Arabidopsis thaliana: one gene and its partners. The protein of the gene in region 1 purifies or fractionates together with the protein of each later gene. This does not show direct contact. Each region holds a gene or a part of one and is shown on either strand. Other genes may lie near its edges.

Region 1 (13,050 bases):
TACGACCCTTGGGTCTATCACCCCACCACTCTGGATACCCGATGACAGCATAGCACCGCTCTGCAGTGTGACCAGATCGATTACACAGTTTGCAGAAGAAACTTTTCTCCTTTTCGTCAGTTGGAAGACGTGGTTTGGATTGCACCGCAAAAGCTGTCATTGACGGTGACTCTTCTACGGGAACACGCAAGTCCTCTTCCTGACGAATGATGTTGTACACCTCTTCAAGTGGTTGAATGGGAGTCCGAGCCACTAGAGTTGATCGGACCGCCCGAAACTGCTCATCAAAACCATTGAGAAATTCATGAGTCTTGTCTTCCTCCCGATCTGCCTCTTGAGCAGCACCAAGATTGCAGGTACACTTACCACAACGACAAACACGCAACGGACGATGTGTGGCGAGGTTATCCCAGATCCTAGTCAACTTGCCAAAGTAAGATTCAATAGCCAAACCTCTCTGTTTGCAGCAAGCTAGCTCAGATTTCAGTTGTTGTAGTCGTGACCCATTCATGACAGAGAACCTCTTTTTCAGATGTTTCCCACAGATCTTGAGCCACATCTCTATGAGAAATGGTGGATCGAAGAGTTGGTTCAATTGTCATTTTGATCCATGACACAAGAAGAGCTTGAATCGTCGTCCAGTCTTCAAAATCAGGGGAAGTCTCTTCTGGTTTGGAAATTGAACCATCGAGAAATCCATACTTTTTCCGTGATATCAACGTGGTTCGAAAACCACAAGCCCACTCTTCATAGTTGCTTCCCTTCAAGAGAGGATGAGAGATTACGGCTCCAGGATTATCAGCAGAAGTCAGGTCATAAGGAGAGATTGTTCTCCTTACTTCAGTCGCAGCGGAGGTGTTGCTTTCAGTTGACATTGTCGAGAAAAAAAAAATCAAGAGTTTTGCTTTTCAGGCTCTGATACCATAAAGGAATACAGAGTTCGACAATGTATATGTGTTATTGATCATCAAGAGAAGCATACAACATATATAGATCGACTATACAACAGACGTCGTGAATCTAGGAAAATCCCTACAGTTGAGAAGATCTAAAAGCTATCCGTAACTATACAATTATCAGCATCTAATAGAGTATATTCTCAGAAAAATAAACCAAGTGTGAACCAAGCCGAACCGGCATAAACCATTCGCAAATAATGTTAAATTCATAAGAAATTTCTCCCAACTTGTGTCGAATCCAACACCTCCACCTAAGAGATTTATCATTGGGTCAACTCTAAGTTGGTTCTTTATTATTTTTAACAAACATACATATATCTCTTATCGATTCAGATTAATCATTGGATATTAAAAGTTCGTCGTGGATTTCTTTCTCTAATTTCTTCCTATAGAGTCATGATACAAGTTACTAAATTACTCCATTATATTTGAACAATCAAAATTGTGTCATGCTTTAGATCCATTAGAAAATCAAGTGAGTGGACTACTCAACACCTACACTTATCTTAGATGTATTAGTCTGGTGGTAAAAATATGGGTTACCCCTTAGTTATAAAAGATAAATAAGTGATGCAAGTTATTTTTCGTATTCCGATTCTTATTAGTTTTCGACCAGATCATGTGGTCCAAAATAATACCTTGAGCATTAGAAAAGTCTCGTAAAATACCACATCAGTATTTCAAAGCTTCAACGTATCTCCTTTTTATTTGTGTCCTTTAGTAAATGAACTTTTTTATGGTAGGGTTTTTTAGTAAATGAACTTACCTCAACAATGCTTTTTTTTTTAGAATCAATGATATTTAAGGGAGAGAGAAAACAAAACAATTTGTGTTAATGTAAACATTCCTACTTGTACTATCAGTAGACCAACATCGTATATTTTACCAAAACAATATATATGACGATAGAAAAACAATGGTAATTAGAAAATATTAAATTTTCCTAATGTAGATATTCTTGCATATAGTAACTACTAACCAGTGTCATTATCCCATCTTGAATCTTGATTTGTCTAGGGGTTAATTTAGAAAATGGGAGAATTTAAGCGGCCAATATGTGAAGATTGATGTAAACTAACCAGTGTCATTGTCCCATCTTGAATCTTGATTTGTCTAGGGAAGAAAAAGGGGTCAATTTAGAAAATGGGAGAAGTTAAGCGGCCAATATGTGAAGATTGATGTAACATTTTCAGCCCCCACCACACACTCAAACCCACAATGGACACATGATGGATAAGATTATAACCCGTTAAGATCTTTTTTTCTCTTTGATCAATCTTCACATGGGTTCTGGTCCTACTTGTATATGAAATGTTACCATACTCTCCTCTTTGTATTATACCCTTCACAAATTTTGTCCATAGGGTTTCCGACAAAAGGGTTTGAATCTGAACTGTTCTGATATTTTTAACCAAGCCTGATAGTGATCGTGATCGCTTGGGATGACCAGTCTGTAGTGGCAGATCCATTTTTGTTACCGGGATCATAATATAACTTTTAAGAGAAAAAAATGTTACTGAATTTGAGTGTAGTGGGGTCATTATATTAATACCAAATTTTACAAATGATGATACTGTTTTTTTTTTTAACAATATTTACATGCAATTAAAAAATATTTAGTTATTCAATCTGAGACGTATCGGCGCTATGCCATTGCTAGTCTATATTTGTTACACCGTTAAACTAGTTACACATTGCTTTTTAGAATATGCAAATGATCAAATGCATGGTTGTTTAAGGTTGGATTTTTATTTTTTTATCCAAAGTTTAAGGTTGTATTTGTGCCCATGATTTGATAGCATACCAAATCGATTGGGTTAACAACTGCTATATATTCTTGCAATATATTTTGTTTATGCATCGTAATGTATAGGGAAGTTATCTGCTAATTAATAATTAGAGTGATTTTTGGAAAACAAAATAGAGACAGAATTAATAAAACCATTTTAAAGAGAGAAAGTTTTGACAAAAAAAAAGCGAGAGAAAGTTTTGATAAATCAACCAAAAATGCATATAACAATGACATGTGATTGCTTTTTAATTTGTTTGTGATTTCTGTACCGATCTCCATGTTCGATTTCATCACTAAATCGGATAAAAGTGTATGTTCTTCTTTAATGTTTTTGCATGAAATATCTTGCAATGCATAAAGACTGAGATTTCTACCATTACAAAAGTGGAAAGAGAACATCTATGTAATATTGGGTCTCTGCATTTGCATTTGGGAACGGTTTTGGCGTTTTCAAATGACAACTCACTCCCACTTATAGTCACTGACACACACAGAAACTTTTAAAAGAACAACCATCACTCCACACACTTATGTGTTCTTCAAATGTTTTATTTATCATTTACTTCAATTATACGCACAAGTTACAACAAGCAAGTTTTTTTGTGCAATATTCTCTTTTATAATCCTGTTTGTCCTATACCAAAACCTAGATTAATCACTGTCAAACCAACATCATAAAATTGTTGGTTAAGTCATATAAACCATTCGTTTCCAATAAGTGCCATAGAAATTGAATATTGAGCATAGTCAGAATATATATTTATGTTTGGTCTGGTTTTGTTTGACAAAGAGAGTATATTCAGGTTTATAATCTAATTATCAAGACAGAGTTATACAGAAGATAGATAAACGATACTAGTGTTACGTTTCTATACAATCTTTTGAAAGTAAACAAAAGAAGCCATGTGGAATCAAAAACATTCGAAGCATGGGAAGATCAAATAATCCAGTGATGGAGCTAGAACGGAACTAAATCAATCATGAAACCTAAATAGTTTTTTAATCTTTCTAGAATCTCTTCTTATCAAAAAATTTCCTTATTTGTATAAAAAGCCTCGGGAAAGTTAACTTCTCATCCCAAACTCATTCCTCAGTTTATCTCTCGACTAGAGAGTGAAGGAAAAATCGAAGGATAATCTGTTTCTTCCAGCACAAGTTAACTTGCAAGGTAGTTTTCTCCCTTCGATTTATACTGTCTTGCTCACTTTCTTAGGCTATTTTTAGGACGATTCATTTTTTTAATTTGTATGTTATTCATCTTTTTAGGGTTCTTGTCACATTTTCGGCCTTAATTTGTATGTGTAAAAATATAAATAGTGAAGTAGATATCATTTTATATCGTCTAGCACTCTAGCTACTAGCTTGATCTGAAACTAGTATATATATAAATTATTTGAATGTCAGCTTTTTTTTGTGAAAGTCACACATCACATGGTAGTTGCATATTTCAAGAACTCAACTGAATTCGATTTAAAATTTCTCCAATCATAATTCATAAAGATATGTATTTCAATTTTTTTAAATAAAAATAGATTTTCCTATTTACCATGAAATTTTTTACTCTTTTTATTTGTTCTCATATAAATAGAGTGATAAACTATTTTACAAAGTTCATTTATGTGGAAATTGATAAAATGACAAGAACATGAAAAAAAGACAAAGATTTTTAGTTGAAATCTGTGATCGATCGAACAGAATCGGTTCAGCTACTGTTTTTGTAATAGAACAACTGTCCATTTTTATACCAAAATGACTAAACCACCCTTAGAAGATGCATGTGTTGTGTGGTACTAAAAACTCAAAAAAGCATTGAAACTTTACACCTTTGTGTCGTTTTCTCAATTTTACCCCCGCTTCATTTGGAATTGTCACTCTCAAAATTGGCGTATTTTCCAGTTCATATCTTCATTCATCTATGGCCCCATAAACCATAACTCTTTGAACCATATTTAATAATGTTACCTGCATGCATATACATTCATATAAAACATGTATTCATTATCATGTTAGATATGTCTAGTCTATTATTTCCCAAAAGAAAGACACCTAAGAGAGCAAGATTCTTGTTATTCATGATAACATTTTTGAAGATTCAAAAAAAATGAGTGATTGATGAATTATTTATGGTCAGCATCTAGTAAAATCATATCGACATATCCAGTCAGCCTTAGTAGAAATGCACCAAAGTGATATAGAGTGGATTTCTCTCGATCCGTGTAGAAATGGACCACCACATTGTCTGTTTAGAATATTATATTTTTTTGTATAAAATTGTAGACATAATCTCTTATTAATAAATATTTAATGCAAGTTAGTTATTTTTAATTTTATGAAAAGAGGTTAACTCCAATATGTACCATACTACTTGAAGAAGTTAAATGACAAAAAAAAATATAAGTAATACTACCATTTCCATATATTGTACTGATATTTCAAACTTTAATCAACTTTCCTTTCTATTTCTCCTTCTTTTTTTATGGTCAAACCCATTCTGTTTATGACTAAACATATGACATATCTAACCGTTATTAATTAGTTCACATATCACATATTTGTATAGTGTTTTCATTTTCAGTAATCAAACCATCCATCTACCACAAAAGAACTTGGTCATGTGTCCATTTTTAGAAATCAATAAAATATTATACCATATATTTATAGTATCTAACTTTAAGAGAATAAATATTTTTATTTGCCGATTCATATACACACACATGCGTGTGGTATCTATGTCTATCCATTAAACTAATTATATATAAACTTATTTTCTGGCCACAATTTTTGTTTCGTGTATAGAGAGAGCTCAAAGATGGAACCAACAGAAAAACCATCGACCAAACCATCTTCTCGGACTCTACCTAGAGACACTCGTGGCTCTCTCGAAGTATTCAACCCGTCAACTCAGCTGACCCGACCCGATAACCCGGTGTTCCGTCCTGAACCACCAGCGTGGCAAAACTTGAGTGATCCACGTGGCACCAGTCCTCAACCCCGACCACAACAAGAACCAGCTCCATCCAACCCTGTTCGGTCTGATCAAGAAATCGCTGTCACGACCTCATGGATGGCTCTGAAAGACCCATCACCGGAGACAATCTCCAAGAAGACGATCACCGCCGAGAAACCACAGAAGTCGGCGGTGGCGGCTGAGCAGAGAGCGGCAGAGTGGGGATTGGTTTTGAAGACCGATACAAAGACGGGAAAGCCACAAGGAGTAGGCGTGAGGAACTCTGGTGGAACTGAGAATGATCCTAACGGGAAAAAGACTACATCGCAGAGAAACTCGCAAAACTCTTGCCGGAGCTCCGGTGAGATGTCGGACGGAGATGTTCCCGGCGGGAGGAGTGGGATTCCAAGAGTATCGGAAGATCTAAAAGATGCGTTGTCGACGTTTCAACAAACGTTTGTGGTCTCAGATGCTACAAAACCTGATTATCCGATTATGTATGCAAGTGCTGGTTTCTTCAATATGACTGGTTACACTTCCAAAGAAGTCGTCGGCAGAAACTGGTAAAAAGTTATTCAAAAAATTTTAGAGCATTTTTTTAATATATAAAATACGTTTCGTTTTCTGTAATAATTACCAAAATTGCAAAGTTTTTTCTAATTAAATATCATAGTTTTGTTTTTAGGTTTATGGTTACTATAAATGTATAAAGATATCTTAAATGACTTAGTAATTCTTTCTAAATTTTCAAAAATTAAACCTAACTTTATTTTATTTTTTTAGAACTTTTCGAAACTGTGTACCAAAATTACAAAGATTAAGTTTTAGGTATGGTTATCCTAAATGATTTAGTAACTCTTACTAAATTTCTAAAAACTTTTTATAAACCTAATTTTTATGTTGTTTTTCCAAACTAATAGCCTTTTATAAACTAAGTTTATTTTTTAATGATAACTTAAAATATTTCTTTTAAATCGAACATTTCTTTGCAAATTCGAAAAATTTCTTACAAAAGTTTCCACCATTTTTTGTTCAATGAATGAATTTTATTTACAAAAAGAAAGAAGAAAAGAACATAATTTGGGTTTTTGTTTTATTGTAGCCGATTTTTACAAGGATCAGGTACAGATGCAGATGAGTTAGCAAAGATAAGAGAGACATTAGCTGCTGGTAACAATTATTGTGGGCGTATATTGAATTACAAGAAAGATGGGACCTCTTTTTGGAATCTTCTCACGATTGCTCCCATTAAAGACGAGAGTGGCAAAGTCCTCAAATTTATCGGGTTAGTCCCTTATTCCTTTTTATTTACTCGTTTCTCTCCTTTATTTCTTTCATTCAAAATGTCACCCTTTTTAATGGGTCTAAGTGTGGACCTGTGATTTGTGTTGCTTTCTCCGCAATAATTCAAAGATTTGTATCACCGACGGATCCTATTGTAGAATAACAAAAGAGAATAATCAATCAGGAAAAAGAAAAGAATTATAGAATCTGATAAAAAAATATGATTTTGAGGAAAAATCAGAAGATACCAATATGTTTTGTTTATTTGGACCAGAATGCAAGTGGAGGTGAGCAAGCACACTGAAGGGGCCAAAGAAAAGGCTTTGAGGCCCAATGGGCTTCCGGAATCTCTGATTCGATACGATGGTATTTACATACTTTCTTTTTCTATTTGTTTTTCCAAATTTTTTTCCATTTATTATGTTTTCTTAAAAATATTTTCAAATTTTGTTTTGTAAAAGCCCGCCAAAAAGATATGGCGACAAACTCAGTGACAGAGCTAGTAGAGGCGGTGAAGAGACCTCGGGCACTAAGCGAATCGACGAATCTCCATCCCTTCATGACAAAATCGGAGAGCGATGAACTTCCGAAAAAACCAGCTCGGCGAATGTCCGAAAATGTTGTTCCGTCAGGCCGAAGAAACTCTGGCGGCGGAAGAAGAAACTCGATGCAGCGAATCAACGAAATTCCCGAGAAAAAATCTAGAAAATCTTCCCTTTCCTTCATGGGGTAATAATCCTTACTAGATCATTTGTTTACCTGACAATTACTTTATAAAAATCGATTTAGTCTTTGATATGATTGTTGTGATACTCTGGTGATAGGATCAAGAAGAAGAGCGAATCTTTGGATGAATCTATAGACGATGGATTTATAGAGTATGGAGAAGAAGACGATGAGATTAGTGATAGGGACGAGAGACCTGAGAGTGTGGATGATAAAGTGAGACAAAAGGAAATGAGAAAGGGTATTGATCTAGCTACTACACTCGAACGTATCGAGAAGAATTTCGTCATCACTGATCCTAGGCTTCCCGATAATCCCATTGTAAGAACAAATGTTTTAGAAAAATGGAAACTTTTTTTGTTATGTTTCATTTCGATTGGTCTGAAAACGTATTGTTTGCTTTGTCCTATGTTTCTAGATTTTTGCATCTGATAGTTTCTTGGAGCTCACGGAATATAGCCGTGAAGAAATTCTTGGAAGAAATTGCAGGTATTACATGAATGTGATCTCAAAATGTCTTTTGAAAATATTTTTGAGCATAGAGCATGTGTTTATAAATTTTGTTTCATGGTTTTAGGTTTCTACAAGGTCCAGAGACTGATCTAACCACAGTGAAGAAGATTCGAAATGCTATTGATAACCAAACCGAAGTGACAGTTCAGCTCATCAACTACACCAAGAGCGGTACTCGATTTTTTCGATATTCTTAGATTAATCTGTCGATCATTGTATAAAGTTTTAAATTTACATTATATTCTCTGTGGCAGGAAAGAAGTTCTGGAACATTTTCCACTTGCAACCTATGCGTGATCAGAAGGTATAATGGTTTACATAGATATCTTGCATTATACGGCACCTTCAAACTAATCCTCAATTTCTTTTGGTTTATGAATTTAAAACTGAAGATGTCTATATTCTTTCTTTGATATGTTGTTGACAGGGAGAAGTACAATACTTTATTGGAGTTCAACTAGACGGGAGCAAGCACGTAGAACCAGTTCGCAATGTCATTGAAGAAACCGCAGTGAAAGAGGGAGAAGACCTGGTCTGGAATCCTAAACTATTGATCTTGATTTAGTATTCGTTTGATAGAAAATCAAGTATTAAACCTTAATCTATATTCTTTAGGTGAAAAAAACAGCTGTGAATATCGATGAAGCGGTTCGAGAACTTCCTGATGCCAACATGGTAAGTGATTGTCTAAGGATCTGAATATGATCATTTTAGATTAAGGTTTATTAGAATATATCTGACAGAATGTTTTATTGTGTCTTGTTTCTGAAGACACCAGAGGATTTATGGGCAAACCACTCAAAGGTTGTTCATTGTAAGCCTCACAGGAAAGATTCACCACCATGGATAGCTATCCAAAAGGTGTTGGAAAGTGGTGAACCGATTGGTTTGAAGCATTTCAAACCGGTGAAACCTTTGGGTTCTGGTGACACAGGAAGGTCTGAAACTCTATCTAATCTAATGAAATAGCTTACAAAAAAAAAGAACATTTCCTTCATTAATCTTATAATATCCCATTTGTGTTTTATCAGTGTGCATCTAGTGGAACTCGTTGGAACAGATCAGTTGTTTGCAATGAAAGCAATGGACAAGGCTGTTATGCTTAACCGAAACAAAGTAATTACAGTAACTTGCACTTCAAGGAATCTTGAGTTTCGCTTTTTATTTGTAAGTTTTGTAGCCACTGATATAATTTTTTGCAGGTACATAGAGCTAGAGCTGAGAGAGAGATCCTAGATTTGCTTGACCATCCTTTTCTTCCTGCACTCTACGCTTCTTTTCAGGTCAAAACCTCTGTTTACACATATATATATATATATATATATATATATATATATGCGTGTCTCTTTGGTCTTTGGTTACTAATGGATCATGTTTTATTCTGCAGACAAAAACACATATATGTCTTATAACAGATTACTATCCAGGAGGAGAACTCTTCATGCTCCTAGATCGACAACCTAGGAAGGTTCTCAAAGAAGATGCTGTAAGGTACAAGTGTTCCTCGCTCGAAAAAGTCTCAAGATTTCTTCACTTAAATATTGAACTAACAAAAACCCTGCATGAACTTTCAGATTCTATGCTGCTCAAGTTGTCGTTGCACTCGAGTATCTTCACTGTCAAGGCAATCCATTCAACCTCTTCTTTAATTACAAAGAAAATTTTGGATGCAAGGAATCTTGACATGATACTAAGTTGATCTTTGTAATTTTTCTTAAATTCAGGAATAATTTACCGAGACTTGAAACCGGAAAACGTTTTAATCCAAGGCAATGGCGATATCTCTTTGTCGGATTTTGATCTGTCTTGCTTGACATCTTGCAAACCTCAGGTTTGATTTCTCTCAACCTTTCCCTTCAGATTGTTTCCACTTCTACTAGAGAGTTTGCTCATGTATACTAATTAAGGGTGATTAATGAATCTTGTAGCTGTTGATTCCGAGTATAGACGAGAAGAAGAAGAAAAAGCAACAAAAGAGTCAACAAACTCCAATCTTCATGGCTGAACCAATGCGTGCATCAAACTCATTTGTTGGCACTGAAGAGTACATTGCTCCGGTTAGTATATTATATATACCAATTTAAGTACAGTGATTAAGGTATTTACCATTGTCTTAACCAGTAGTTGATGTCTCATATGGATAGGAAATTATATCCGGAGCAGGACATACGAGTGCAGTAGACTGGTGGGCTCTTGGTATACTTATGTATGAAATGTTATACGGATACACTCCTTTTAGAGGAAAAACAAGACAGAAGACTTTCACCAATGTTCTTCAAAAAGATCTCAAGTTTCCAGCTAGCATTCCTGTAATGGATCAATCACTATATTTCTATAAACTAATCTCATGCATAAAAATCGAGGATCATATTTAATTGTTCTGTTATTGGTTTGCAGGCAAGTCTTCAAGTGAAACAGCTGATTTTTAGGCTGTTACAACGAGATCCGAAGAAAAGACTAGGTTGTTTTGAAGGAGCAAATGAAGTCAAGCAACATTCTTTCTTCAAAGGCATAAATTGGGCTCTGATTCGATGCACGGTATAACTTCACACATTCTCTTTACTTGGTATATAAGAAACATTTCGGTTTTACTTGTGAAAGAAGAAAACTAATCATCTTATGAGATTATTTTGATATGCAGAACCCTCCAGAGCTCGAGACTCCGATATTTTCTGGTGAAGCTGAAAACGGAGAGAAAGTTGTTGATCCTGAGCTAGAAGATCTGCAAACAAATGTTTTTTGAGATTTGGACTAAACGTTTATCGTTTTCTTTTCAAGAATTGTTTGAAACTCTTTGTTCTCCAAAAATCTCGTTTTTAATTATTTTCATTTTACCATTATCTTTATTTATTTATAATGCCAAGTGTTTCTAATAATTTGTGTGAGTTTCTTAAGAATATGTTTTTTATATATGTCAATAAAATTAATCAAGTTTTGCATATGTTTTTGTTTGTTTCATTAATCAAGTTATTATAATGCGAATTCATGTGATTAAATTGGTAAAGTTAAACAAAGAATTGATATTTTTCATAATTTAGTTGAAGGCTACAAAAGACAATGGAAACCATAAAAAAAAAAGTTCAAATCAGAATTAAGGCTTGAATTGGGTACAAACCAGAATGATTATGATAGAGTAGATTAGATCCATGTTTCTTTGAATCTTTTAAGTGTTCTTGTTCTGTTTGTGTTTCAGAAAACTATAACTTTGTGGAGGACTAATTACTCACAGCAACACCGTTTCTGCTGCATCCTATGTGTGTGTTTTAGTAGTTATTGTGTTACTTAGTAAGAAATGCTCATTTGATTCATTCACATTGCGTCAAGTGATCTGCTCTGTGATTGTTCTTGACATTTTCAGTATGTATGGCTGGCCAAATCTGAGAGCTTTTCATGTCTAAATTAGTTTCTCGAGCTCTTTTTCTTTTGTGATGGTTTCAGTCTTTTCTTTTATAGGTTTCTTCAGCTATAATGCTTGAGGAGGGAATAAAGTATCATCTACTATGGGCGGGTCAGAAGGAGCTAGCAATCTCTATTCCAAGATTCCAGCGATGTACAGATACAAAACATGCAAGCTGTCAGAGGGAAGGGTGTGAAAACTGGTCAGTTAATAGGTGAATTTTGATGTAGAATTGAAACAGTGACTACTTATAGGAGCTGTATATGCTAATCTTGTGATAAATATTCAGTGACAACTTATGACCCAAAAAGTGGGTTAGTTTGTGAATTGAAACAATGACAACTTGAAACTGCAATTGCAAACTAATAATGAAAGTTATAAAGTCTCTTATCATTTACCAAAACTTCCAGAAACACATACCAAATAGAGAGTTGGATACTTCATCTTACAACTTAAAACTAATAAACAAAACCGTTACTAAACAATTATAGATCCACATTGCAAAAAGGGGTGGTTCAAGAGTGCACCAATCCCCCACCTTGAAGCAGGGTCCCTTTTTAAACATCTGCTGAGAAAATGCTGTGCTTCTTCAGATAACCAATCCGGTATATAAGGAATGTAACAGCTTTGACCGATGAGAATGTCCCAATCTACAGAACCGAGATCACTATGTTCTCCCCATACTTGTTGTCCCGTTAACATTTCCAAAACTGTGCATCCGAAAGCCCACGTGTCAACAGCGTAATCAACAATCCCATGTCGTATAAGCTCCGGAGACATGTATCGCGTTGTGCCTCTCCTATGACCTGATGCTTTTTCATACTCGCTTGAACCCTTCTCCAATGCTAAACCGAAATCCCCAATCTTTGCCACGTACCCATTAGGTCTTATCCGGTTCTCGACAGGGGCTAGTAAGATATTTTCCGGTTTGATGTCACAATGAATAATGTTTGCCCTGTGGATGTAGTCGAGACCGTAAAGGATATCTCTAGCAAGAAGTTTCACATCTTTCTCTGACAATCCTCCAAGGTTACTGTTGACCAAGTCGAAGAGGCTTTTGCCAGAGCAATACTCGAGAATCAAATTGTAATTCGTTCTCTCGCCACCGAACAGAGTCTCCTCGCGTGCAATCTCGTGGCCATAGCAACGAACGATGAAAGGAGATGAGAGACGGGTTAATATTCTTTCCTCGTCCATTAGACTCGAAGCTCGTGAAATCTCTGCAGATTTGATCGCCATGGTCGTTTTAGTTTTGGCCTTCTTACTTGTCGCCAGATAAACCGAACCGTAAGAGCCTCTTCCAAGGAACTCAGACTTGATCCAAGATGAAGACTTTCTGACTACTCCGTCGAATACTTGTTTGGTTATCTCTTCAACACTGAGACTACTACTACTCTTCGGTGTAAATCTCTTCCTTTTATTGTTCTTCAGA
Region 2 (9,162 bases), on another chromosome or scaffold:
TTTAAAGAATTATATGTGAAATAACAGTTTAATAATGAAAATAAAATCTAAAATTAAAGATTAGAAAAGTAATATTTATTATGGAAACTGACGAGTTTTGAAAAGATCATGGGATTAAATGGTGTATTATTTGTAGTTATACGACTTGGTTTTTTAAAATTATAATCAAAAACAACATGTTGTTAATTAAAGAGGTACTAGATGCTGTCAGAAATAGACCAACAAAAAAGAGAGACTACTTTAGATTACCACTAGGAGCCGTTATACTTAAGTTCTGGTCAACGGCTATATAACTAACGGAGCCGTTAGTCTTTTCAGACGTCGTTATCTTTCCCGCTATAAAAAGCCATTTTCCATTAGCTTGATTTCCGGGCCAAACAAAATCTTTTGTGAAGAAACTTTCTCTCATCTTCCCAAGGGAGAGAGCAAATACCAAAAACTTCTTTTTGCGTCTCTCTTCTAACATTCCTTCCTTGCCGATATTTCAGCTCACGACGAGAAAAATCTCACCGTTCACGCTATATACATCTATTTGCAGGTGATTTTTTTTCTTCTAGATTTGGTATCTCGTTTTCTCCGAAAATCTCGATCTTGATCTTTGCTTTTCTCGGATTCGTAACGCATGTGTCTGATTAGAGTTCATATACTTGTGAATTTCTTGTTTTTCGTATTTAGGGATTTGATTTCGTAGAAGTGGTTTTGGGAAACACTGAGATGAGTAATCATCACACGGTCGTATATGTTAATGGATTGGTTCGACCGGTTCTCGCGGAGGCTGAGTATAGTATGAGAACAGAGTCTCCGGCGGATAATGCAATTGATATCTACGACGGAGATACTACGGAGAATGAGGAGGAGGATTCACTGATTTCTTCCGCGGAGTGTCGGATTTGTCAGGATGAATGTGATATTAAGAATCTTGAGAGTCCTTGTGCTTGCAATGGCAGCTTAAAGGTAGTTTTTTCCTTCATTGTTTCATGATCACTATAGGAACCTATAGTTAGTTATCAAGAGAACATTTGAGTATTGACTTTTAAGTTTTACGTTGTGATCAGTATGCTCACAGAAAATGTGTTCAACGTTGGTGTAATGAAAAGGGAAACACTATATGCGAAATCTGTCATCAGGTATATACATTCTTTCTCTTGATACTAATGATGTATGATTTGTAGAGGATGCAGCTCAAATTAAACTTTCTCTTATTCCAGCCATACCAAGCTGGATATACCTCTCCACCACCACCACCACAATCTGAAGAAACTACTATTGACATTGGGTATGATCATTTTCATTATTCTGTTTCTGTCATACACTTTAGGTTTGGTTTCATGACTTGTAATTGTTCTGACTTATTTGTCTGTTTTTTAGTGGAGGATGGAGAATCTCGGGTTTGGATTTAGATGATCCACGTCTCTTGGCAATAGCAGAAGCTGAACGTCAGATTTTAGAATCAGAATATGATGATTATACAGCTTCAGATACCAGTGGAGCTGCATTTTTCCGCTCTGCTGCTTTAATAGTAAGTCTAAAGCTCCTCAACAAGTTTCAATTACTCCCGAGTATTTTTACTAATTTCTCTTCTCTTTTGCAGTTGATGACTCTTCTTCTATTGCGACATGCACTGACTATACCAGATTATTCAGATAGTGAAGATGATGATCCTTCTTCAATACTTTCTGTAAGTTACTACTTCTTCCTTTTTTCCAGCATATACTGGAAAAGTTTCGTATAAGTTCTAACTCCAAACCACAAAATCATCTTGCAGCTTTTCTTACTCCGAGCTGCCAGTTTTCTTCTTCCTTGCTACATCATGGCATCAGCCATCAGTATCCTGCATCGCCGTAGACAGAGACAGGAAGCAGCGGACTTGGCCACTCGGTTTGCGTTGGTGCTCAGCTCGCGCCAACCTAGACCCGTGATTAATTATTTGTCAATGGAGCCATGATTTTATAGTTCCACTCTAAGAGTTTCAGGTGTATATGCTTTTCAAATATTTCATCAGAAAAAAGATTCATGAACTGCTGTTAAAAGAGTGGTTTACAGTAAGTAGAAAGAAGAATCTCTTCTTCTTCTTCTCACTTCTTGCAAAGCTATTGAAACTATCTTTTCTGATGAAATCATTGAATCATATGTGGTGTTAATCAAGATTTGGTAGCAACAAGAACCATCACAAGATCTACATGATGGTCCTTCTGAATCAGCTTTCTTACAAACAAGGAGTGTCCTAACTTAGTGCAGAGTTTTTTTTTTTACAAGTATTCGATTCTAAGAAAGATTGTGTATGTAGATTAAAGAGTTTCTGATTCTGTAGCATTAAGATTTTCAATAACACTTGATTGAGAGATGAGCATTTCACTTTTTAGGTAAAGAAAAACGAGACACATAATTTGTAATCTGTGTAAATAAATTTGTTTTTTGTTCCAAAAAGATTCATCTCTACCATATTAGTTCATACATTACTGTCATGATGTTGTAATAAAGATAACTCTACCAAAACCCAAATTGCATTAAGTATGAAATCTGTTCTCGAATACAAAATATCTTACTAACATCGAGCACATAATGAAGCTTTTTGATGTTAAATGCGGACAGCACAAAGAGCATGGCTCAGAGCTAGTTTGCCTGCAATAGCTCCTTAATGTCATACCCTTGGATCTACAAAAAACAACAGAGACAAAACAAACATAAGCTAAGAGTTGATATGTTATTTTGACATTGTAGTGATCATAGGAATGAGTTTTCTACCTGAAGAAAAGTGAGTAGCAAAATAACTCCCGAGTTCCAGAAACCGTGTATGACCATTGGGGTAATGAGATTGCGGGTTTGTGCATATGATAATCCCAAAACACTTCCTAAACCAAAAGATACTTATTGTTCATCCAGAAATGTTCATAACCATGAGAAAATGCAAATGGTTTTGTTTTTAGTTATGTTTTACCTAGAATAAACAGCTGCGGGAATTCACCAGGTGTGAAATGGGCAAGGGCAAACGCAGCTGAGCTGATGATGATCGCTATTGGGGTCGGGACCCTGAAATACAGAACGTAACAAAATGTAGTAAGCTTTTGTCCAGAACCAAATGAGAAAAAAGAACAGAGGTTTTACCATTTGGTAAGAGAGACCATGAAGAATCCGCGAAACACGGTCTCCTCCAGAAGTGGAGCAAGGATTCCAGTTATGCCCACTAAGCTTAAGGTGCTGTATTATGTGCAATGTGTGATCAAATTCTAGTATTAACGCACATCGCAGTTTCTATTTCTTTGAGGAAATACCTTATGTTTGAGGATCCAATTAATGGAAGAAGCTTCATCAAAGAGTCTACCTGAAAACATCACACTAGGCCTCATTACTATTATCCAACAAATATTTCGAAAACAAAACATAAAGCATGGTTTTGAATTCTCCTAACCTCCCTTTCAGGTGCTTCTGTCCTGAACACGGATAAAACAACACCTGTTAACGCAATAGCACCAACAGCACCAACCAGACCGATTCCACCCCACACAAGCCATCCTTTTTGCAGGTTGACGGGTTGTCTCAAATCTGACGATCGAACAAACAGTCAACTACCAATAAAAGAGCAAACCATGCTGATAGAAAAAAAAAAAAAAAAAAAAAAAACGTACCATAGCGAAGAATATCTTCAGGAAGTGGGTCGAAGGTTTTGGCAACAGTGAATATGACAGCAAGTACCACCGCGGTTGTTAGGCTGCCAAATATTTAGACAATGTTATTCAACATAAGCCAAACCTCAAGAGAGATAACTAATTTTACAATGTGAAATCAGCTAAAGCAACGAGATTATATAATGAGTTTACATTAACAGAGTAAAAAAGAGCAAAGAATACACAAAAGAGTAGTATTTTTTTGGTTACCCTTGATCCAGGAACAAAATCTCCGCCTTATCGTCCAAGGTCAGTTTCTCAACGTCGATTCCTAAAAACGGTATGACTGCCATCTCGGTTAATCCTGTCAAAACAAAACTGCCTGGGAACAAAATTAATCTCACTCCATGCATTACACAGAGAATAGTCACTGAACATTAAACTATTTAACCATAACAGAGAGATTATCTTTCAGATCAGTCTACTCAACCATCACATTTATCTTAGCACACAGTCTATGTACTTTCATCAAACTCCAACCCTAAAGTCATCAAAAGGGAAAGCTTTTGATGAGAGTACCTTAGTGCACAAGCAAACGAAGTTAACGAAACTGTCTGCCATCCCCATGGAACTTCCCATCTCTGAAGTATCGGCCACTCTGAGCTACCTCCTTGTAACTACAACAAATATAACAATCAAAACTTCAAATAATTTCTCAAAGGTCTAGTCTTTTTTCACATTCCAATAGAATTTGGATTCAATTGAACAAGTTACATAGAGCTGCCTCAGAAAAATTCAGACCGGAAACTAAACAAGAATCTAATTTAGATAGAGTCAGTGAGACAGTAACCTTTCCCTCTCCTCCAGGTTCCTTTCCAGAGTTGAAAATGCAGGCCGATCTCCATTTCTTCCGATTAACCGTAAATAACCGGCGGCTAGCAAATCCTGGAGAAAACCGGCTCAAACCGCCGTAAGTACAAGTCTTCGGAAGAATTAACCTCCTTGAATCGGATAAACATAGAAGAGACGAAGATTGAGATAAACACGAGATTATCTGAGAAACCATTTTGAAATTTTCTGTTGTTCTTAGAGAACTTCCACACATGAACCAACACGATTATCAGATTGAGGAAGAGGATAAGATCCGACTAAAACGAGCGGGTAGAAAAAAACCGTTACTTACTTAAAATAACGTTGTTTAAGGCCCATTTATGTCAGTATAGGCCCAAAGCCCATTAACGACCAACTAACTCGACGACAAGTCTTTGTCAGTATATCACAAAATACGTACATCCCTCGTGTCTTCTAATTTGTAATTTTGTTCCTTGGGAGAATCATGTCCACTATTTTTCTTTTTTCATTTTCCTTATAACCAAGACAAAATATAATTAATATTTTGTTTATACATTAGCACAAAATCACTGGCAAATAGGCAGTCTTGTCCCAGTAATGGAACCCACACGACATAGCTTCAAAAAAAAAACAAGGAACTTCCTCATTTCTTCTATTTATATTACTCAAATCTAAATCATCCCTAAGAAATAGTAATACACAAAAAGAAACAAAATGGTGACCTTAACTTCATCTTCTTCAACTCCAAACGTATCTTTTGATTTCATGATGAACAATAATAATAACAGTAACAATCTCTATGGTCCTTTCTCTTCTTCTTCTACTTCTTTCTCTTACTTGACAAGCAAGGAAGATGCTCTCACCCAGAAGAACCTAATGAGTGGTATCACCAATGATGTTCTTGGAATTAACAAGAAAGCTTCTGAAGATTTGGAGATCAGTGTGTTTGGAGCTGAGAAGTACTTCAATGGAGATATGGATTCTGACCACAGTCCTAGACTTGTGTCTCCTCTGCCAGATCCAGAAGTTCCAATAGAGAGAATCTTTGTTGGTCCGAAGCAAAGCTCGAAGAATTCCTCGGAAACTCCTAGTCTTCGGTCTGAATCCAGTTGGAATAGCCAGAGTTTGTTGCTTCAGAGCAAATATGTAGAGAAGAAGAAGAACATCAAGAAAAACTCTAGTTGCAACAGTTACTTTCAGGAGAAGGATATGAGTAGCAATCACAAGGTGAGTAATAAGAAGAGTTTTCTCGCTACTCTTGGCTGCAGATGCGTGTGTTCGAACTGGAGTTCAGTGGATGTCGTCGACGACAAGAGAAGAAGCTCTGGTCTGAAGAAGATCAAGACTCAATTGAGTTTCTCTGGAGATCTAAGCTCGGAGATGAAGATTCATCAACAACAACAAGAAGCAATGCTAGAGCAGAGGAAGTCTCTGGAAATATTTGGATCTCCTCTTATTGAGAAGAGAATCATTCAGAAGAAATTTCCATGGGAATACTCGAGCTCTGCGAAAAAAGAAGAACATGGATTCTCTGTGAAGTATGAAGAAGAAGAAGATGGGAGTGTGAGCGATGTAAGTACGGATCTTTTTGAGATTGAGAGCTTAACAGGGAAGGCAAACCCTTTTCTTGCAAGGCAAGGAAGTAGTGATCCAGACTCACCAGATGGTTATGCACCAAGTGAGGTAAGCATACAATGGAGTGTAGTGACAGCAAGTGTAGCAGATTTCTCTGTTATGTCTGAATGTGCTACGAGTCCCGTCAAAAAGAACCGGTCTTTTCAGATTCCTCGAATCCCTATCATGGCAAAATCAAACCGAGAAATCGCGCCTCAGAGACGGAAATCTAGCAGTAGCGGTTTATTAATGGGATGCAAGAGTCATAAATCTGTCAGAGTTTCTGGTGATTCATACACAAGCATGAACAGAACACCGAGCTATGTTCCAAGATTCCCTGTAGAAGCTAATCCAACAAGCACTGAAACAAGAAGGAGGATCAGCAGTAGTTCTGTTTCTCACACGCAATCGCCTTTTTTGTATACTTAATTATGCCAAAAACCTGAGCTCCTTTCGTTTTACATGTAAAATGTCTATTGAGTGGAAAATATTTGATTTGCTAATACCATCTTCATATTGTTGTACCTGAAAACAGTAGTTTTTGATTTAACTGGTTTATTAAGGAAGAATGTCGATAGAGAAGTGTAAATCAATCTGTATCATCAATCAATACTTATCTGCTGACCACAAATGAGTAAAAGATGAAATGTGATGCCAAGAACTCATCTATTGTTGCCAGAGATTATAAGGAACTGCACCATGTGAACAATAGACACTTGGGTCTAATCCGCAAATAAGACATAACCAAGAGTGCAATTCCATGTGAAATATTAAGATGTGATTGTAACCTTTTGTTGACTTAGGAGACATAATTAAATGCAGCACGTAGACTAGACACAAAACACATTTGGTCCACCTCATTTTCATGTGCTTGTCTCAAGAATAGAAAGATAACCTCATTAGGCTTAGATTTAACGGTTTAATCAAAGACCGTACGAGTTGCCTAAAAGAGCCTTTAATGAGGAAACTCAATCAAACAATGATAGTGTCCTTTCACCTAACATGTCTTAAAAGCCACTCCAGAGTCTTCTGGTCCAGAACTCATCTCCAGTGTCAAGACCATGTGATGATAATGAGATAAAGTAGACGTCGACAAAACCTTAATTGTGTCATTGATGATGATATGTCTCTGTAACCAACTCAGGAGGAATGTTAGGTTTTGGGAAAAAGATTGATTTGTCATACAGTTTAAAGTTTTAGTTCAAGATTCAGATCTTACAGCTGGATCTAATCAAGAAACAACCTTTTGATATTAAACCCAATCAACCATGTCACAAAGTATCAATAGATCTTGAAGATAAGTATTGTATCCTTTTCAAAGGTCCACTTTTGAAATAATTGAACAGTGACTTCATTTAGTCTATGAAACTAACTATATAGAGAAAAACTACCCCGTTGCTGCCATGTTTGGAGAGGATAAGAACAACAAAAGCGAGAAGCCCTTTGCATAAAAGAAAGAATCAACGACTCTGCGTATGTCAATTCGTAACAAAGGAGATCAATGAGACTCTCACAGGTCTCAAAACCTGGAATTATAAAGCAGATAATAATAACAGAGAAGATCTGAAGTTTTGGCTATTACAAGATAAATTTACTGCTGGCTTACACAGAAACATATGCCCGCAGATCGAAAAAAGGATAGATTGGAATTGTATGTACAATTACAAGTACGCAAAGGTTACAGTGGTTCTCTAACGAGCAAAATGATGACTTAGCATTGACAAGAAGCCCCAAAAGAAAGAAAGAGAAATTACTCATCTTTGGATACTTTGATTGGCCGTGTTTCAAATCCTCCATTGGCTCTTTTCTCCAATGAATAAGGCAAGTAAGTGCCGAGAATCCTATCCCACATAACAAAGAATGGCTGCGAGAAGTTGTATTTGGTTCCATAGAGTTGGTGGTGAACATCATGGTAAGCAGAGTTATTACTGAAGAAGATGTGAAATGGATTTCCCGGAAGCCATAGTCCACAATGATCATCTACTGTTTTGATGGTAGCGAAGGAGAAGAAAAAGATGGCTGTTCTTGGGGACATACCAGAGAAGAGGAAAGACAAAGCACCACCAATAGTGTCCAAGAGAAGACCTTCTAGTGGATGGTTGTATAGAGCTCCATACGAATAAGGCACAATAAGGCGATGATGCTGAGAGTGGATGTGCTTGTATAAGAACTTGTTGAGGTGCATATATCGATGAATGAAATATTGCCAAGTGTCAATTACAAGCATAGCGATGATAAACTGCCTAGCCAGAAGTAGAATGGAAAATTGCTGTGTCGTAGCAGCATCTGCATCACTTCCTGTTATCTAAAGAGAACAACCAAATTCCAAACAAAATATTTCAGGTAAACAAGAAACAAATGCTCCAAAATGCTAATATATGAAGCTCTATCAACAAAATATCCAGAGTGTACCATAACATGAGAACTAGAAACCTCAATCAATTTCTTCCAATACAGAGAAACATCACAAGCTCACGACTCTGAAACACACAAATAGTGAGAAATTCCAAGACTATCTATAACGGTCTCCCATGCAAGAGAACAAAACCTTGCACATGTGAATGATGAAGGGTAAAGATTGTATTCCTCTAAGCACTATTAGACAAGGGAATCACAAATCTAGACGTAAAAGCTTTTCTAAAGTAACGCCTTATGTTCAAGAATTTCAAGTGAAACAATCTAGCAAATTCTCTATATAAAACAGCAAGAAGCAGGAGATTCAAGTTTTATTTCATCAAACAATCTCCAGAATCTAAACTATTCTTAATGCAGCCTAAATCTGTAACCTTGATCCAACAGCTTCAGGACAACAAAAGGTGAATTGAAATCAGAAAACCCCTAATTCATTCTCATCGACCTAAGTTCACTAACCACAAAATTAGATTAACAAGAAGCACAAGGAGGACAACAACATTATTAGCATAATCCACAACCAAAATCCTATAACATTCACAAATTTGCCACAATGTTCAAAGAAGGGAGAGAGAGAGAGAGATTCAATACCTTGAAGAGAATAACGGAGATAATAGCCTGAAGAGTCTGTTGAAGAAGAACGCCCTTAACGACGGCAGATTTAGAAACGAGATTCTTC
Region 3 (9,800 bases), on another chromosome or scaffold:
TAATATTATTTGATGTAATGATGATTTTGCATTAATTGTGACAATAGTCACATCTAAACTTTTTTGGGGCATTAAATGTTGATGTCACTTCGGAATAATGAAAATAATCTCACTTGTAACGGAACCGAATCGCGTCAACGTGAAACAAAAAATCTTCAACTGAATCGGAACAGTGTACGTAACTAAACCTGCTAAACTAAACCGTACATTTCAACAGTTACTAAGAGAGAAGCGCAAGGGCAGAAACGTCATTTTGCAGGCGAAAAGACAAATGGTGAAAACCACATTTGACTTTAACAATCCATGGAAATAAAACATGGTCAACGGGTGTGGCCTGCAATTTACCCTTATATAAACACTAATATATATATCTAGGCTAGTACAGTTTTTCCTCTACGACATTTACAAATCTTTTTTTTTCTTTTTCTTAAAACTCTCATTAAAAAAACAATGATAAATCAAACATGCTTCGTTCCGGCTTAATTACTGCTCTTCCCCATCTCAAGCGCATTCCCATACTCCCATCCTCTACAAACCTTGACCAATACCAGTGTGACCTCCACACTTGACCCATCTCCTCAATCGGAATACCTTTCGTCTCCGGCAAGAATCTTTAATGGGTCGGATTTGTAGATTTACGGTTTAATGGGTCGGATCTAGATAGTTTTAATCAATCTTTTTATAACATTACCGTTGGATAATATAAGTAAGAATATACTGTAGCATAGATACTGATGATTTTATGTGAGGCTTTCATTGACTTAAGAGCCACGTAACCCAATAAAAATGGGTCAAGCCCAAATGCGGTTCATTTGATATGTGAATGAATGATATTAAAACCAAATTCTATCGTGAACTATCTTTACAAAACAATCACTTTCTCTCTCGCTCTCTCTGTTTCTTGACTCTCTTCTTCATTAGTCTCCATTGATCTTGAAACACCATTGATAGAGTCATGAAGTTTGTGGTCGAGATTCTGGGTGGTTCATCGTTCGAGATTGAAGTGGAACGCACAGATACATTGTTAGTGGTCAAACAGAAGATCGAGAAGTCTCAACGTGTCCCAGTTTCGAAACAAACCCTTATCGTCGACGGCATTTTTATTCTTCGAGAAGATCTTAACCTCGACCAATGCCAGATCTTCCACGATTCTCAAATCCAACTCGAAGTCTCTCCTGACGTGAACCCTATTCACAACAACGACGATCAAATCCCGCAAACAGAGCAATCTCCTCCAGCACCGTGGATTTCAGTTGAAGAGTACTTTGCGGAGCAAGATTGGCCTTTGACAGAGGAAGAGATCAGAAAGATTTACAGTTATCGGCCTGAGACAACCCAAGACATCAGTAAGATTCAAGATGCGCATCAAACAGAGGAATCTCCACCGTCAAACTCAGTCAAAGAGACCGTTAACATTCAAGATTCGTCTGTGAAGTTTGCGAGTAAGAACAACAACGATCAAGTGCCTCCAACGAAGCAATTTCCACAGTCAAACTTAGTCAAAAAGATCACTAACGGAAAAAAAAGAGTCCGGCAGATGCTAGTATATGTGTCGCCATATCCTGGTATGAATGAAGTCCCAACGAATATTCTGGTGCAAGTGAAAGTTACGGATGAGGTGAAAACACTGAGAGGTCTTATGAAACTGGCTCAAGAAGGGTACATCTTTACGCACAATAATCAAGTATTGAACGAAGATCAGTCATACGAGTGTAACAGTGTTAAACCCTTGGATACAATTGTGATTGTTCCCAGACGTGTTATCCAAGAGACCAGTAAGATTCAAGATTCGTCTGTGACGGTTCAAGTGCCTCAAATGGAGCAATCTCCAGCGTCAAACTCAGTCAAAGAGATCACTGACCCGAAGAAGAAGATTAAAGTATATGTGGTGGCAGCTTCAAGTGAGTGTAAAGGTCTGAAGAGATTTATTGAGGTGGATGTGAACTCGACGGATCAAGTGAAAATACTGAGAACCGAGTTGGTTGAAAGTGGTCGGAGGGGTCATATAAGAATGCCTCACGAAGGATATTTCTTTGTGGACAGAAAGAAAGAGAGAGTATTGAACGAAGATCAGTCATTCGAGTGGAACCGTGTTCTTCCAGCCGAAACAGTTTATATGGTTAGTGGACGTGATACACATTTTGCCTCGTCTTTTACTCGTGGCTCTAAAGTCACAATGCTTTGTGCTCAAAAAGTTCTGTAGAAAGTCTGTATATATGACACAGAAGAAACCAAAAACTATGATACATTCAGCAACAGAAAGTTATGTGGATCTTTAACTCTTTGCTAATAGGTTTTAATCTTTCTTCAAGTTTTCTTCTGGCCCTTAAGTCACAATGCTTTGAAATTTTTGAGTATATGTAGATACATAGAAGAAACAAAACTATGATACATTTAGTAACAGAAATTTATGTGGATTTTATCCTATTTGTAGGTGTAACTCTTTTCTTCTAGGTTTTAATATTTTTCTTCAAGTAAACTTGTTGTTATTGAATTCCCTTTAGTCGAAAGCAGCGATCAAGCTTCTCTTATAAGTTACAAACCCTAATTTCAGCAAACACAACTTGGAAACACTAGCAGCAACAACTTTGTTATTTTAAAACATTAGCAAAAGAAATCTCATTGCAACATCAAATGGCAAAACTGGAAGGTAAAAAAAGCAGAACTTATCAAACAAGACTACCAATATGATGAACTGATGATTTTTTTTTTTTTTTTTTTGGCTCAACAACAAACTTTCCATTCACCCATTTATGGATACACAGTCTAGCTCAACAGAGCTTTTAACCCAAATTGGTACAATAGAATACAACTTTAGATCATAATTCTCAAAAGAAAGAGATTCCTTAGCTATTCTATCTGCCACTCCATTTCCTTCTCGGCTTGTATGCACAAGCATAAAATCCTCAAACTTGCTAAGTAGATACTTTATGTCTTGGATAATTGGATTGAGACTTGACAAGCATAACTTTCATGTAACCAAAGACACAAGTTGCTGAGAATCCACCTCAAAAATGATCTTCCTATAATTGAATCGGGATAATGACAGCACAGCCCATCTAAGAGCCTCCACTTCTACTTCCAGCACGCTTCTTACTTTTACCACAGCTCTTGCACCTAACCATAACACCTTCCCTGTATGATCGCGAAGCACCCACCCTAAGCCACATTTTAATCCTTCTGTTGGCCATGCCCCATCAAAGTTGCACTTAACCCAAGATTGTGGTGGAGCTTCCCATGTTTCTCGTCTGTCCCGACGGTGTTGTGGTTGGTGCTTTCCTTACATTCTGAGCCTCTTTCCTTCTAATCCACTCATCTGCATCTTCTTGTGTCCTTACTAATACCTCATTGGTTCCAAATTCCCTCCCTTTAAGCACCAGCTCGTTTCTGTTCTTCCACAGCCTCCCAAGTATCCAAGGGACTAAAGCCTCCACATTCTTCAGATCAGGATATTCTTGTTTAAGATGTTGAACTCTATGGAGGTTTGTATGAACTGATGATCTAGGACCGGATAAGTTCCCTTCTTCATAGCGAACTTATTCAAAGAATGTTTTGTGTATCATTCTTGTTACATTGTTATTAATGAAAAAATATTATTGGTCATTGGACTGAACACGAGTGTTAAATATGGACCAGGCCCCAAATAAGATCCATTGATATATGAATTAAATAACAAGAATAAATCGAGTCACCAAACCACTTGCCTTTTTTAACGAGACTTGTTCACCAACTTGATACAAAAGTCATTATCCTATGCAAATCAATAATCATACAAAAATATCCAATAACACTAAAAAATTAAAAGAAATGGATAATTTCACAATATGTTATACGATAAAGAAGTTACTTTTCCAAGAAATTCACTGATTTTATAAGCCCACTTGCATTAGATAAATGGCAAAAAAAAACAAAAAGGAAAAGAAATAAAGCACGAAGAATTCTAGAAAATACGAAATACGCTTCAATGCAGTGGGACCCACGGTTCAATTATTGCCAATTTTCAGCTCCACCGTATATTTAAAAAATAAAACGATAATGCTAAAAAAATATAAATCGTAACGATCGTTAAATCTCAACGGCTGGATCTTATGACGACCGTTAGAAATTGTGGTTGTCGACGAGTCAGTAATAAACGGCGTCAAAGTGGTTGCAGCCGGCACACACGAGTCGTGTTTATCAACTCAAAGCACAAATACTTTTCCTCAACCTAAAAATAAGGCAATTAGCCAAAAACAACTTTGCGTGTAAACAACGCTCAATACACGTGTCATTTTATTATTAGCTATTGCTTCACCGCCTTAGCTTTCTCGTGACCTAGTCGTCCTCGTCTTTTCTTCTTCTTCTTCTATAAAACAATACCCAAAGAGCTCTTCTTCTTCACAATTCAGATTTCAATTTCTCAAAATCTTAAAAACTTTCTCTCAATTCTCTCTACCGTGATCAAGGTAAATTTCTGTGTTCCTTATTCTCTCAAAATCTTCGATTTTGTTTTCGTTCGATCCCAATTTCGTATATGTTCTTTGGTTTAGATTCTGTTAATCTTAGATCGAAGACGATTTTCTGGGTTTGATCGTTAGATATCATCTTAATTCTCGATTAGGGTTTCATAGATATCATCCGATTTGTTCAAATAATTTGAGTTTTGTCGAATAATTACTCTTCGATTTGTGATTTCTATCTAGATCTGGTGTTAGTTTCTAGTTTGTGCGATCGAATTTGTCGATTAATCTGAGTTTTTCTGATTAACAGATGCAGATCTTTGTTAAGACTCTCACCGGAAAGACAATCACCCTCGAGGTGGAAAGCTCCGACACCATCGACAACGTTAAGGCCAAGATCCAGGATAAGGAGGGCATTCCTCCGGATCAGCAGAGGCTTATTTTCGCCGGCAAGCAGCTAGAGGATGGCCGTACGTTGGCTGATTACAATATCCAGAAGGAATCCACCCTCCACTTGGTCCTCAGGCTCCGTGGTGGTATGCAGATTTTCGTTAAAACCCTAACGGGAAAGACGATTACTCTTGAGGTGGAGAGTTCTGACACCATCGACAACGTCAAGGCCAAGATCCAAGACAAAGAGGGTATTCCTCCGGACCAGCAGAGGCTGATCTTCGCCGGAAAGCAGTTGGAGGATGGCAGAACTCTTGCTGACTACAATATCCAGAAGGAGTCCACCCTTCATCTTGTTCTCAGGCTCCGTGGTGGTATGCAGATTTTCGTTAAGACGTTGACTGGGAAAACTATCACTTTGGAGGTGGAGAGTTCTGACACCATTGATAACGTGAAAGCCAAGATCCAAGACAAAGAGGGTATTCCTCCGGACCAGCAGAGATTGATCTTCGCCGGAAAACAACTTGAAGATGGCAGAACTTTGGCCGACTACAACATTCAGAAGGAGTCCACACTCCACTTGGTCTTGCGTCTGCGTGGAGGTATGCAGATCTTCGTGAAGACTCTCACCGGAAAGACCATCACTTTGGAGGTGGAGAGTTCTGACACCATTGATAACGTGAAAGCCAAGATCCAGGACAAAGAGGGTATCCCACCGGACCAGCAGAGATTGATCTTCGCCGGAAAGCAACTTGAAGATGGAAGAACTTTGGCTGACTACAACATTCAGAAGGAGTCCACACTTCACTTGGTCTTGCGTCTGCGTGGAGGTATGCAGATCTTCGTGAAGACTCTCACCGGAAAGACTATCACTTTGGAGGTAGAGAGCTCTGACACCATTGACAACGTGAAGGCCAAGATCCAGGATAAGGAAGGAATCCCTCCGGACCAGCAGAGGTTGATCTTTGCCGGAAAACAATTGGAGGATGGTCGTACTTTGGCGGATTACAACATCCAGAAGGAGTCGACCCTTCACTTGGTGTTGCGTCTGCGTGGAGGTATGCAGATCTTCGTCAAGACTTTGACCGGAAAGACCATCACCCTTGAAGTGGAAAGCTCCGACACCATTGACAACGTCAAGGCCAAGATCCAGGACAAGGAAGGTATTCCTCCGGACCAGCAGCGTCTCATCTTCGCTGGAAAGCAGCTTGAGGATGGACGTACTTTGGCCGACTACAACATCCAGAAGGAGTCTACTCTTCACTTGGTCCTGCGTCTTCGTGGTGGTTTCTAAATCTCGTCTCTGTTATGCTTAAGAAGTTCAATGTTTCGTTTCATGTAAAACTTTGGTGGTTTGTGTTTTGGGGCCTTGTATAATCCCTGATGAATAAGTGTTCTACTATGTTTCCGTTCCTGTTATCTCTTTCTTTCTAATGACAAGTCGAACTTCTTCTTTATCATCGCTTCGTTTTTATTATCTGTGCTTCTTTTGTTTAATACGCCTGCAAAGTGACTCGACTCTGTTTAGTGCAGTTCTGCGAAACTTGTAAATAGTCCAATTGTTGGCCTCTAGTAATAGATGTAGCGAAAGTGTTGAGCTGTTGGGTTCTAAGGATGGCTTGAACATGTTAATCTTTTAGGTTCTGAGTATGATGAACATTCGTTGTTGCTAAGAAATGCCTGTAATGTCCCACAAATGTAGAAAATGGTTCGTACCTTTGTCCAAGCATTGATATGTCTGATGAGAGGAAACTGCAAGATACTGAGCTTGGTTTAACGAAGGAGAGGCAGTTTCTTCCTTCCAAAGCATTTCATTTGACAATGCCTTGATCATCTTAAGTAGAGTTTCTGTTGTGGAAAGTTTGAAACTTTGAAGAAACGACTCTCAAGTAAATTGATGATCACAAGTGAAAGTGTATGTTACATAAGTGGATATTTCACCCTTTTTCCATCAATCAAAACATCATATAGTAATCCATTGGTTTATACAAACATCAAAATACATTTACCTCTGAAATGAGGAAAAAAATGCAAAGAGATTTTTGAAAATTTCCAACAAATGGAGAGAAAAAAAAAAAACAAAGAATTAAATCAATCAGTACATTTATAAAGGTTATGAGACCTATATGACACTTATTGGTCAAGTGGCAGCCATTCCATTTCTAGCTCTAATTCTCCAGACTCTACATTCTGAAGCTTGATCTGAACCTCCTGTTTCACTTTCCCATCAACAATGTTAATGATACTGTCATCTATTAATGGGTTATCATGCGATTTTAGCCATTTCCCAATCTGCATATCCCCAAACATTTCTGGATCCCCAAAAGCCATTGCAGATGTTATCAAAGGTTGTATATCAATATCTGCTTCTCCCATTATGTCATCAGCAGAAAATGTATCATAATCATACACTTGCTGCAACCACATAAGAAACCGTAAGATATATATATAAGCTTTGGCAATGACTGAAATCGTCAATAGAAAATGAATTTGCTCTTACCAATTTCACAGGGCCATAGCTCTCAGGAACAGACAGCATGAGTTCTTGATTCCATACCGGGTTCAAATTACTATTCATAACAGTTGTCTGAAGTTTCTGAATAAACAAGACAATTTTACTCAAGATTCACAGCATCAACAAGAAGTAAAGCTAATAAAAAGATGCAAAGCAAATCACTTACTTGCTTCCCTAGATTCAACACAACATATGGATCACTTGACATCATGTCTCTGATTGCTAAGTTAGTTCCCTTCTTAATAGTCACCTTCAACAATCCAATAAACTCTACCATTCCTTCCTGAAACTGTCAAATTTACCGATTTCAAAACATGCAAGAAGAAAGGTATAAGAAAGAAAACGTTAACTTATGCAAGTTTGAAGCTTTACCATCGTCTGCGATGATGAATTTGTGCGAAAACTATCCATGATCTTTCTAGAAAGACTTGATGTAAGAAAAGCTGAACTCTTTGTTGAGCCTTTCCCGGATGTAATCCGCAAGCTTGGTTTCAGAAACTCTTGCAGTTCATATTTTGCCCTAAATAAAGATTTTGAGTAAGTCACTATACAAACAACAGCAATAGATTTGTCCTGTCACAGAGTATTTTGTTTTAGAATCTGACCTAATGAATCTCATACGCTGGTCATGATTAACATCAGGTCCAGGCTTAGAGCACGTGTCAGGTAAAAAAGCTTCATAAATTGAATTAGCAGACGCATTTCCTCCAATTTCAATCATGGAATCGACTTCCTCATCTGACCATTCATCTAGTGTCACAGACAAAACCTGGAGAAACCAAACAATGAGTACACAACGAAAGAGATCTAATTTTGTCTTGAGTAATGAAGAAAAGAGACAACAAATGGACAACCAATATGTAATAGAGCAAAGAAGATATATCACCTTTGAAATATGAGTGCCGAGGCTCCTGTGCACACCGCAACATTTTAAGCAAATGAATACTCCGATATTTGCTGATCTGAAAACAAGCTACTAACTGATTATTCAATATAAGAACAAACACAAAGATACATAACTAAAGACACAAGAACATGTAGATGAAGCTCAAATCGCATAATGCGAATAAGTAACTTTCGGTTATGGTAAAGAAATGTGAGACATTCAACTCTATGAGATTAACCCCTAAATGAATAGAGAACATACAGAACCAAACATATTGTATTAGCATAAGATTAGCTATATACTAAATGACATGTTGTTTATCAGCAAAACTACCAAAAGATAAGAAGAAGAAAAAGAGGCTTAGAAGCGATGACTTACGCCCATTTAGGATCAGAAGCGCCACAATCAGCGCAGACTCGGTTATCAGGTTGATTTAAAAGATCTCTGATTCTCCTTTTACCTGTTAAACACACAATGTGGATTGAATCACAACATAATCAGAAACCTTGTGACGCCATTATAACATGAAAAAGTCAAGAAATTTCGCTAAATCTATAGAATCGACCACACACACACACAAAAGAAAGAATCTGTCATTACCTGAGCCAGGCTTACCGAGTCCGGCTGCATAATTGCTCATTGCTCTTCTTTCAAAACCCAACGATCATCAAACAAAATCCTACATTGAGAACAACCCATCACGCACAAATTGTTGTAAATGATCACAACATAAGAAAGTTCCAATTTTTATCATGGAAATCAAATTAAATTTGCGATCAAAACGTGAACATTGTTGAAAACAAAACAAATGGGCCAATCACGAGAAGAATCTCTTTTCATATCAAAAATTAAAAACCTATGTGAATCATCCTTACGTTGTCGGATTCCGACACCGGAGAGGAAAAAAAAACCGACAAAAAAATTTTAAAATTTGACCTTTAACATTCTTAGAGATTGGATGATCTAAATATGAAACAAGAAGATATACAAAAAATTGGAAATGAGAGGGGATTTGGTGTTCTTACAATGTTGCGGAAGGGAGGATAGATAGACGAAGGAAAGAGGTGAATTTACAAGAAAATTGGCAAATGATAATATCTGCAAATGACAACTACGTGCTCACTTTTCTTTTTATCTTATTATTTTTTTCTGCGTTTTTTAAATAAAGAAATTAGAGCAAATTGTTAATTTAAAAAAATCCCAAAAAAAAACACTATTTCCAATCCGGCGTTATTGTTTCATAGGTTTTTTTTAAAAAATTTTTTTTTATTAAAATTTGGTTTATGATGAAAATAGAAACCAAATTAGTACAAAAGTAAATATCATTCGGTCGGTTTAAATTGCTTTTTATTTATTAGCAAAACATATTATTTTAGAAAATATGTATTTTTTAACAAATAATTTGGTTGAAAAGACATTAACTTTTCCTTTAGATACTTTAAATCAGTATTTTTGTTGACTAAAATTTTTAAAATAAATTGTGTTGATTTATCAGCAGATTGATTATGGAGATAACTGATAATAAGTAACACATAGTTAACCTCGTTAATGCGTTTCATCAAAATATTTT

What was found.
Region 2: the proteins of PHOT1 (region 1) and PKS2 purify together in Arabidopsis thaliana (affinity purification with western blotting, with the first as the bait; one study listed by BioGRID). This does not show direct contact.
Region 3: the proteins of PHOT1 (region 1) and UBQ10 purify together in Arabidopsis thaliana (affinity purification with western blotting, with the first as the bait; one study listed by BioGRID). This does not show direct contact.

The regions. Positions count from the first base shown.
Region 1 is NC_003074.8:16,812,997-16,826,046, forward strand, and holds PHOT1 (phototropin 1), read left to right. Parts: upstream 1-3,724; 5' UTR 3,725-3,919; intron 3,920-5,350; exon of another isoform or gene 5,351-5,547; 5' UTR 5,548-5,560; coding exon 5,561-6,261; intron 6,262-6,800; coding exon 6,801-6,983; intron 6,984-7,256; coding exon 7,257-7,348; intron 7,349-7,443; coding exon 7,444-7,711; intron 7,712-7,806; coding exon 7,807-8,029; intron 8,030-8,126; coding exon 8,127-8,197; intron 8,198-8,285; coding exon 8,286-8,392; intron 8,393-8,475; coding exon 8,476-8,525; intron 8,526-8,648; coding exon 8,649-8,753; intron 8,754-8,836; coding exon 8,837-8,896; intron 8,897-8,992; coding exon 8,993-9,159; intron 9,160-9,252; coding exon 9,253-9,337; intron 9,338-9,423; coding exon 9,424-9,504; intron 9,505-9,608; coding exon 9,609-9,712; intron 9,713-9,795; coding exon 9,796-9,845; intron 9,846-9,945; coding exon 9,946-10,052; intron 10,053-10,149; coding exon 10,150-10,278; intron 10,279-10,365; coding exon 10,366-10,530; and 6 more. Other genes in the region: AT3G45790 (Protein kinase superfamily protein), read right to left, coding at 12,009-12,069, 12,157-13,050. UniProt on the Arabidopsis thaliana protein: Protein kinase that acts as a blue light (BL) photoreceptor in a signal-transduction pathway for photo-induced movements.
Region 2 is NC_003070.9:4,872,486-4,881,647, forward strand, and holds PKS2 (phytochrome kinase substrate 2), read left to right. Parts: upstream 1-5,020; 5' UTR 5,021-5,171; coding exon 5,172-6,500; 3' UTR 6,501-6,822; downstream 6,823-9,162. Other genes in the region: AT1G14260 (RING/FYVE/PHD zinc finger superfamily protein), read left to right, coding at 715-954, 1,056-1,127, 1,209-1,276, 1,369-1,519, 1,592-1,678, 1,766-1,945; AT1G14270 (CAAX amino terminal protease family protein), read right to left, coding at 2,614-2,655, 2,746-2,852, 2,939-3,030, 3,106-3,198, 3,273-3,322, 3,410-3,543, 3,627-3,709, 3,876-3,983 and 2 more; SBH2 (sphingoid base hydroxylase 2), read right to left, coding at 7,822-8,376, 9,075-9,162. UniProt on the Arabidopsis thaliana protein: Acts predominantly in the phot1 pathway. Involved in the leaf positioning and also in the phot2 pathway controlling the leaf flattening. Component of the network that modulates the very low-fluence response (VLFR) branch of phyA signaling.
Region 3 is NC_003075.7:2,713,810-2,723,609, forward strand, and holds UBQ10 (polyubiquitin 10), read left to right. Parts: upstream 1-4,167; 5' UTR 4,168-4,445; intron 4,446-4,733; exon of another isoform or gene 4,734-4,749; coding exon 4,750-6,123; 3' UTR 6,124-6,499; downstream 6,500-9,800. Other genes in the region: AT4G05310 (Ubiquitin-like superfamily protein), read left to right, coding at 956-2,203; AGD13 (ARF-GAP domain 13), read right to left, coding at 6,963-7,244, 7,330-7,425, 7,511-7,633, 7,717-7,864, 7,950-8,113, 8,231-8,306, 8,609-8,690, 8,831-8,870. UniProt on the Arabidopsis thaliana protein: Ubiquitin exists either covalently attached to another protein, or free (unanchored).